Rattus norvegicus: one gene and its partner. The protein of the gene in region 2 purifies or fractionates together with the protein of the main gene of each other region. This does not show direct contact. Links are inferred from orthologs where the notes say so. Each region holds a gene or a part of one and is shown on either strand. Other genes may lie near its edges.

Region 1 (4,521 bases), on a different chromosome or scaffold from region 2:
AAGCATCGTCACCTGCTCAGCCATCTCAACGGCCCAGAGCAGGGGATTTCTAAATGGTGTTGCCAAGTCTCTACATGTCCACCTCCACTGACATTCCTGGGACACTCACCTCTAGGCTGTCACTGCCATCTGCCTCCCGATCAATGATGTCAAAAATGTCCTCGTGGATTTTTTCTCCCTGGACAGATATGGAAGAGGGTGAGGTGGGACAGGAATTGACCTTGACCTCAGTGTACCCACCATTGATTATTTATACACACACACACACACACACACGCATATGTATATGAGTACTCTATATGTATGCCTATATGACAAGAGACAGCACCACTCAGAAGAGGGCATCAGATCCCATTACAGATGGTTGTAAGAAACCATGTGGTTGCTAGGAATTGAACTCAGGACCTCTGTGCTCTAAACTGCTGAGCTGTCTGTCCAGCCCTCTGCCCTTGAGTCTTACATGCATCATAGCTGCCTTGCTTTGCACTGAGAGGTACTACAACAGTGGTTACAGGCAAGTAATTTACAACCCAACCAAGCTGATCTGTTCACACTCAGGTTTGAACTGCTGGAGCCCGGGTAGGACCTTGCTTATGCTAGCAAGGGCTCTACTTTCTTTCTCTCTCTCTCTCTCTCTCTCTCTCTCTCTCTTTTTTTTTTTTTGGGAGACAGAGTTTCATGTAGCCAAGGCTGGCATCTAATTCTCTGTTTAGCTGAGGATAACCCTCACATACTGGCTCTTCTGCTTCACCTCCAGTAAGTATCAGGCTGCCCAGTTTTTTTTTTTTTTTTTTTTTTTGTTCTTTTTTTCGGAGCTGGGGACCGAACCCAGGGCCTTGCGCTTCCTAGGCAAGCGCTCTACCACTGAGCTAAATCCCCAGCCCCCAGGCTGCCCAGTTTTATGCAGTGTTAAGGACTGAAGCCGCGGCTTCATACATCCTAGAAAAGCATTCTTTCTACCAATTGAAGTCACCTAGTCATGTGACTTCAGGAAGAGGGATCTATTTCAGTTTCCTCATTTATAAAATAAAGGTAAACAGAGGTCCACACTCCATCATGTAATATTCATGGTGCCAGCTATTTTTAGAAATCAGGGATTGGGGATTTAGCTCAGTGGTAGAGCGTTTGCCTAGCAAGCGCAAGGCCCTGGGTTTGGTCCCCAGCTCCGAAAAAAAGAAAAAAGAAAAAAAAAAAAAAGAAATCAAAATACTTCTGGTTCCGAAAGGTAGCTTTGTATATACAAATGTAAACTGCATATCAGCTGGGCAGTGATGGTGCACACTTTAATCTCAGCATCTGGGAGGCAGAGGCAGGTGGATCTTTGTGTGCTTGGGGTCAGCCTGGCCTACACAGTGAGTTCCAGGACAGCCAGGGCTACGCAGAGAAACCCTCTCAAAATAAAGAAATAAATATTCGGATTTAACAAAAAGACCACGTGAAGGCTGGGGATGTGATGTCTAGCTCAGCAGTGTAAGTTTGTCTAGTGTGTGATGTTCAACACATTCCTAGAAGCTACAAAATAAACAATACTACCCATACAACGGTGGAGGTCTGAGATGTGCTATCAGATATGCTAATATTTCTGCAGTGAGACGTCTGATGACAGTGCATTGACTAGAAACATCAATGTAGCTTTCCCTATTGATTTTTGGTTTTGCTAAGCGAAGTCTGAAATATCTTTGGTTTCAGGTTTTTTTGAGTCTGAAAAAGTAGATAAAATATAAACTCACAGCGCCTACATCTAGGGTTAGTCAGAGGTTTGCAAAGCTAACATATAAAGTACTTAAATGGCCTGCAACAAGGGACTAGCTAGAATAGGTTCTTAGCCTTGCAGTTAGCTCCTGAAGCCAAGGCTATCTTGCTTCAGCACTCATGCTCCTCTGACCTAGTTTCATCTGTAGAAAAACCACAGGGTCTGTGCCCACCCAAGGAGTTGAGAGCCCTGCAGGAGAACAGTAATGACCTGGGAGAATCCGCTGGCCCAGTTGTTGCCAGCCCCTCCTCCATGCTCGGACAGGTAGATGTTCTCTGGGTTGTAGAGCTTGGCATAGGAGGAGTTGAGGATGGAATGGATCACCCGGGGCTCCAGGTCCAGCAGCACAGCCCGGGGGATGTAATGCTCATCGTCTGCCTGTCAAAGGGAAAGCCAGGATTGGCCCAGGGAGCTAGGATGAGTCAAGTCCTGAGTCCCCCAACTCTGGTTTCGGCAGGCCCTCCCTCAAGACAGCCATTCTGTTCCCATCTGCCCAGTGACTTTCCCAGTACCAGGTCGCCACCAGTACCTTCATGTCCCCAGGGACCTGGCAAGTCACTGGGGTGGGTTCGGGGGAGGGGGCACCTGGTAGAAAAAGACGTCCTTGCGGTCAGTGCCCTCGGTGGCGAACTCCTCTACGATGCCCTCGGGGCTGATGCCATGCTCAGCACATAGCTGTTTCCAGAACTCGAACCCAACTAAGAGAGGGAGGCGGGAGGAGAAGAAAAAGGATACGTGGGTCTGGGTAGGTTCCAAATAGCCAGTGGGGGATTGAACGCCTGAGTCTAGGGATCAAGATTATCCTTGGGACTTCCTAGTGTCTAGGCCAGCAACTGGACAAGGGAAGGTTCATAGGCTTTGGGCAGTTGGGTACAGGGTTGGAGGACGCCTTTGTCGGGGAGAACTAGGATTCTGAGGACAGACCGAATCTACGACCTTATTGCGAGGCCCTACTGCACCTAAGGAACCTGGCAGGCAGAGGGTCTGGAGGTTCGCTCACTCTGATTGCCGCACTGGCCCAACTGTAGGGTGATGATTTCTCTCGGCATCGCTCCTCAGACATAGGCGTTGCAGTCTCTCCCGCCAGCAACGCCGCCGACCGCTAGCGCGCTCGCCCGCAAGACGCAGGCGCTAGGCAATGCGCTCCACCCCTGATCTTTCCCCGCTCCAATGGGAGCTAAGCTCCGCAGATGGAATTTCCTCCTTCATTGGGCTTCAGTAGTGCAGGTTGCGCGTGCGCGGCTCCGAATCGCGCTCAGCGCCCGGAACGTATTTTGACGCAACATTCTCTTCCGTCCGGAGAATGCGCACAGGAGTTTATGCGCACGCGCGCGTGGGACGAACAGGCTTAGCAACTCCCTCTCCTTCCCCTCCCGGCCGCAGCTAAATCGCGCTTCTGCGCAGTTGGTGTTATTGTGACTGCCGGGCCGTGGCCCCGGATGTTGTGGCTGCTGGAGGGGAGATGGAGGAGGCTGAAGGGGTGGCCGCGGCCCCGGGTCCATCTTCGGGGTTGGCTTTCAGGGGCCGCCGAGCTATGTCCGGCTCCTGGGAGCGCGACCAGCAGGTTGAGGCGGCGCAGCGAGCCCTGGTAGAGGTGCTGGGGCCTTACGAGCCTCTGCTGAGCCGGGTTCAGGCAGCCCTGGTGTGGGAGCGGCCGGCCAGGAGCGCCCTGTGGTGCCTGGGGCTGAACGCGGCGTTCTGGTGAGAGACCTGGACCCTCGCTGACCCTACTAGGCGGGAATTCATCAGGTTGCTCTGGGGGGATCTATCTCTCACCTGCCCTGCCCTGTTTTCTTTCGCTGCCCTGACTGCTTCTTAAACTTGCCTTATGATGCTTCACTTTCCCCTACATCACGTCCGCCTCCAGGCTTTGGCACCCCGGGTGCTCGCAGTGCCTTCCCGATCTTCCCCGGTCTTCCCCGCTTTCCCCGCGCCCCCACTCTCGCCCCGGACACTCTCCACGAGCTTCTGGTAACATCCCAAGTCGCTCGCAGTAAGCCAGAGTGCCTCTTGTTAGCTAGAGAAAGCGATTTCACTTTGAGACTTATTTCCTCCGTTTCTCTTGCTTGTCCCAGTGTGATTCCCAGAGATTTTAACTTAGGGTGGGAAGAGAGGCAGCAGGACTTGAAAAATGGTACCCAGGGGTGTAGGAGGAAAACAAGCTTGAGCCGGTTATCATGGATTAGCATGTTAGATACTGTCTCACCCAGTCAAGTTGGTGAAGTCGGTATGGAGTTTCAGCTTGAAAGAAAAGTAGATGGTATTAAGAAGAAAAAGAATTACAGAACGCTGATGAGATTTCATTTGTTTCAGAGCCACTTAGGTTTGCAACTCTTCTCCCAAGAAATTAGGAAGACCTTAGCCATGGTTTAAGGCTCAAGGGGTTTGAGGGTATCTGAGAACCGTGGAGTCCCTTTAGCTGGACAAGTGGCTTTATGTTAAAGTGTGCGTTTCATTCATTGAATAATGAAACCACCTGGGAGTGGGGTTTGGCCCTCATCGAGTCTACCAACCATAGTTTGGGTTTATTAATAACCATAATACTGATCAAATTCCAAGGGAACTGACACGTGTACTGAGGCCTCTACAACCAAAAGAGATAAGACTATCTTGAATTACCTGAAAAAGCAAAAGTGTGTGTGTGTGCGTATGTATGTATGTATGTATGTATGTATGTTGGAGTTCTGGAGCTAGAACAGGCGACCTTGTGTATGCTGGGCAAATGTTCCAACAGTGAACTTCAGGCCACTGTCATCGGTTTTTGGTAA
Region 2 (3,812 bases):
CGGCACATTACTGTCACGGCATGACTAGAGGAAGTAACGCCAACACAACCTGAGCCTATGGCTCTCTAGTACCAGGGAGTACTCATTTAACTACCACCACTTACTTCAGAGTTTTTTACATCCTGCTGTGACAGCTATAAACTGAGTTTTTAAAAAGATGACAAAGAAGGCAAGTAAATTTTAAAAAAGGCTGGGCAAAACTGTATGAAATACTCAGAAGTGCAATTAAAAAAAAAAAAGGTCCCACCCATGCTCCTTAACGAGAAATGGCTGAAATTAAGGCTCCCAGGGATGACCGCTGACAAACATGAAGCAAAGGCAAAGGTGTGAGGTGGTAAGGTACAAATAAAGACACCTGTTCTGGGAGAGCTTGGCTGGATGATCTGTCAGGATGGTGACACACATCCCACAGCCCAGGCGTTTTATGCCTAGGTACATGGCTAAACACTGCACACGTATAAGCATGAAGAGACAGGAGCTACAATAATGCTAAATAAGGCTCGCAGTAGCACAACTCAGCATCCACTCTGCACAGAGAGGTACACTGCTGTGTATTTGTGGAAGGAAATGCATTTGCACGAAAGGACACATGACACCGTACACATTTATGTATGATGTACATAAATGAACACTGTAGACCTAACAGGAAAGGGAAGAACCCAGTGGAAAGTGTAAGATTCTGTTTAAATGAAGCGTAAACTTGTTAGACGTCTGGCTCAGTCAGTGAGACTGATGAATGTCTACTTTAGAACTCAGGATGCTGGGAGGGAAGTGAGAAGGGGGACTGTGGAGGAAGAGGGATTCCTACAGTGCTGGCAGTGACAGCCGTGGTTATGGACGGCTCTCTCTGTTTGCGCACGTGTGTCTGCAGTCAGCACCGGGTCTTCCAGTCGCCTTCCAGCTTGGTTTACCAAAGAGAAGACTGTACTGACTGGTCTACACTAACTGGCCAGCAAGCCCCCGGGACTCCACCCCCACCCCCAGTCCCACCCCCACCCCCACCCCCAGTCCCACCCCCACCCCCACCCCCAGCTCCAGGAAACATTCCTGAACCCGGACTCCTATTGGATGCTGGAGATCAAAATCATGTTTGCATCTCAGAGACTTTACTGAGCCATCTCCCCAGCCCCTTCTGTATCTCTAAATCAATATTTACTCTGTAAATATATTTGGTCTACTTTTTTGTATTGGGTTTAAAAATCAGAGACCACACAGATACTATTTTCAAATATGGTTAGATTCATTGGTACCAAGGATTAGAACTTGAACTTAACATTGGGCACTAGGCTCAATTCTAGTCAACGCAGAAAAATTCTAAAAATAGTGAGAAATTTCGATATCATGGTGTATCAATAATTTTTCTGGTCTGAACATTCACCTTCTGGTCTTGAGACTTTCTCCTGATAGCATTAGAAGAGATTTTTCACACAACTTGTTAGTTGCTTCTAGATATAGTCTTTTTATTTATAACAAACTAACATGCAAATCTAACCTTGAGTGCTTCTGTACCCTTGCGCAGCTCCTTAATAACAGATGATAAGGCTTCTGGGTTGATTCCTTGTTCACAAAGCCGTACACAAATAGACAGCGTTTCCATATCTAAACCGGTATTCAAAATTCTTGAAATCTCAAGCAGTACTGAAAAAGATAAACAATTTTTAAAAAGCATAAACACTAAAAATAAAAATGCATGTAGCACTTCTGTTCTTTTTCGTAAGGGACTGTACAGGTTTTATTTAGGCATATTTATGTATATACATGTGCATGCAGTAACAACTGGGAAAGCACTCGAGACCCTGACTTTGAAGGAGAGCAGGGACAGCACACACCTATGGGAGGGTGTGGAAGGAAGAAAGGAAGAGAGAAATATGGTAATCAAATTATAATCTGAAGAGTTAAAAAGATAAGTTAAAGACTTTGTTGGAAACACTTTGACATGATATTTGTAACTTGAAATTCAACTCTTTTCATTCATCCTTTTAAAAAAAATCTTTTACTAGGTTATTGTTCACGTAATCTGAACAATAATCCTGGTTCTGGTTTCCCCTCCCTCTACTCCTTCCAGTTCCTCCCCTCTTTTGTATCTCACTCCCTCTCCATTAGCACTGGGAAACAAACTGGCTTCAAACAAACAAGGAAAAGAGCGCAGGAAAAGGCACAAGGAGGAGTCAGAGACCCACTCCTTTGGATATTCAGAAATCCCACTTAAAAAAACCAACCAGCACTAAAACTAGAGCCAGAATATACACAGGCCAGGCGCAGACCATGCAGGACCTGGGCATGACGCTTCACTCTCTGTGAGTTCATAAGAGGTGAGTTCATTTGATCTCGAGGGCCTGTTTCCTTGGTGTCTGCCTCAGCAGGGTTTCCTGGGCTAAAGGTTTTGATGCAGATAACCATTCGGGTCTGAGTCTTCCAAGCACTCTAACTTCTGCATAACATGTGGCCGTGGGTCTCTGTAGTTTATCTGGTCTCTGTAGTTTATCTCCCTTCCTCACACTCCAGAGGACGCTTCTCTGATGCTGGCTAAGCAACTGAATGACTGATGCACTTGTGTGTATGTGTGGGTTCCCATAGGCACAGTTTACAAGCAGAGGTCTGAGAACCACTTACAATTCACTCCTTGCACCATGTAGGTCCTGGGGAACAAATTTAGGTAGTCAGGCTTCCTGACATGGCGCCTTTACCTAATAAACCATTTTGCCAGCCTGGTGCCTCAATCTTAAAAACTTAAAAGATAGCAGCATAACATGCCTTTGATGGAAATGCCAACTTCTCACCTCTGCGCTGCCTTAACAGTTAAGCTTCTCTGCACACTTCCCAACTGACATAATACTGTGGTAACTGTGATACATCTGTATGTACTAAATTTTATTTCAAAACAAATTCTAAAAGAAATACTCAGCAACATAGGCATTTAAAGCTTTAGAACCCTTCATAATTTGACATAACTGCATCTGTTGGCCTTATTAATAAAAGCTTGTATAAACTTCACTTTTAAACTTTGTGTATTTATTTTATGTGCATGAGTGTTTTGCCTATAGGTATGTATGAGCACAACATGTGACCCTAACTTCATTTTCTACTGCGTTTCTTGGTAACCCATTAAAATATCTGTCTTCAACATGAAAAGCAGCAGCAGAACCTGGGTTACCCAAGGGCTTTTCCGGGGACCCTCTCCTTACAGGATACACACAATTACATTAACTTTGTTACAGAATGGTTGTTTCTAACAATGTGCTTAGAATTCACACTGACTGATAACGGATTACCTGTTGTACACATTCCCCTTGCATTATACTTAGGACGTTATTTCCCATGCAAAGAGAATTTATCATTATTCTGGTCCAGCACTTGAAAGTTGACTTCTCCCTTTCAGAAACATTTAAATATTCAATTCCTGTAGTGTAGGTAGAAGAAAAGACCCTTTCTCCAGAAATAAGCCAGTTACACCACAATATAAATTGTTGGATGATATACCCTTTCATCACTAAACTGCAATTGCTACCTTTACTACATAAGATGTTCTCAGGGGTCTATATAGCATATTTGTGTCATTCCTATATCATTAATTACTAATTTTATACTGCACAGAGTAGATTAAATACTTTTGCCACTTTCATGCATATAAGCCTTTTTTATTCTCAAGGTGAAGTCAGACATTTTCATGAATTTCCAAAACAAGTTTATTGGGATTCCTGCTTTGGTTGCAGGAAACCATGGATTATTTTGGGGGAAATGGGCAAGTTAACAATATTTAGTCAATCACTAATTTAATTCTAAGTACTGAAAACTGTAGTATTCATGTAAAC

What was found.
Region 1: the proteins of Mzt1 (region 2) and Tubg1 purify together in Homo sapiens (affinity purification with mass spectrometry; 4 studies listed by BioGRID and IntAct, counting the BioPlex papers as one, with this or other methods). This does not show direct contact. The link is inferred for Rattus norvegicus from reciprocal best matches to the Homo sapiens genes MZT1 and TUBG1.

The regions. Positions count from the first base shown.
Region 1 is NC_086028.1:86,551,537-86,556,057, reverse strand, and holds the start of Tubg1 (tubulin gamma-1 chain), read right to left. Parts: upstream 2,916-4,521; 5' UTR 2,803-2,915; coding exon 2,754-2,802; intron 2,452-2,753; coding exon 2,339-2,451; intron 2,132-2,338; coding exon 1,964-2,131; intron 179-1,963; coding exon 110-178; intron 1-109. Other genes in the region: Retreg3 (reticulophagy regulator 3), read left to right, coding at 3,216-3,454. UniProt on the Homo sapiens protein: Tubulin is the major constituent of microtubules, protein filaments consisting of alpha- and beta-tubulin heterodimers. Gamma-tubulin is a key component of the gamma-tubulin ring complex (gTuRC) which mediates microtubule nucleation.
Region 2 is NC_086033.1:82,198,769-82,202,580, forward strand, and holds part of Mzt1 (mitotic-spindle organizing protein 1), read right to left. Parts: intron 1,639-3,812; coding exon 1,493-1,638; intron 1-1,492. UniProt on the Homo sapiens protein: Required for the recruitment and the assembly of the gamma-tubulin ring complex (gTuRC) at the centrosome.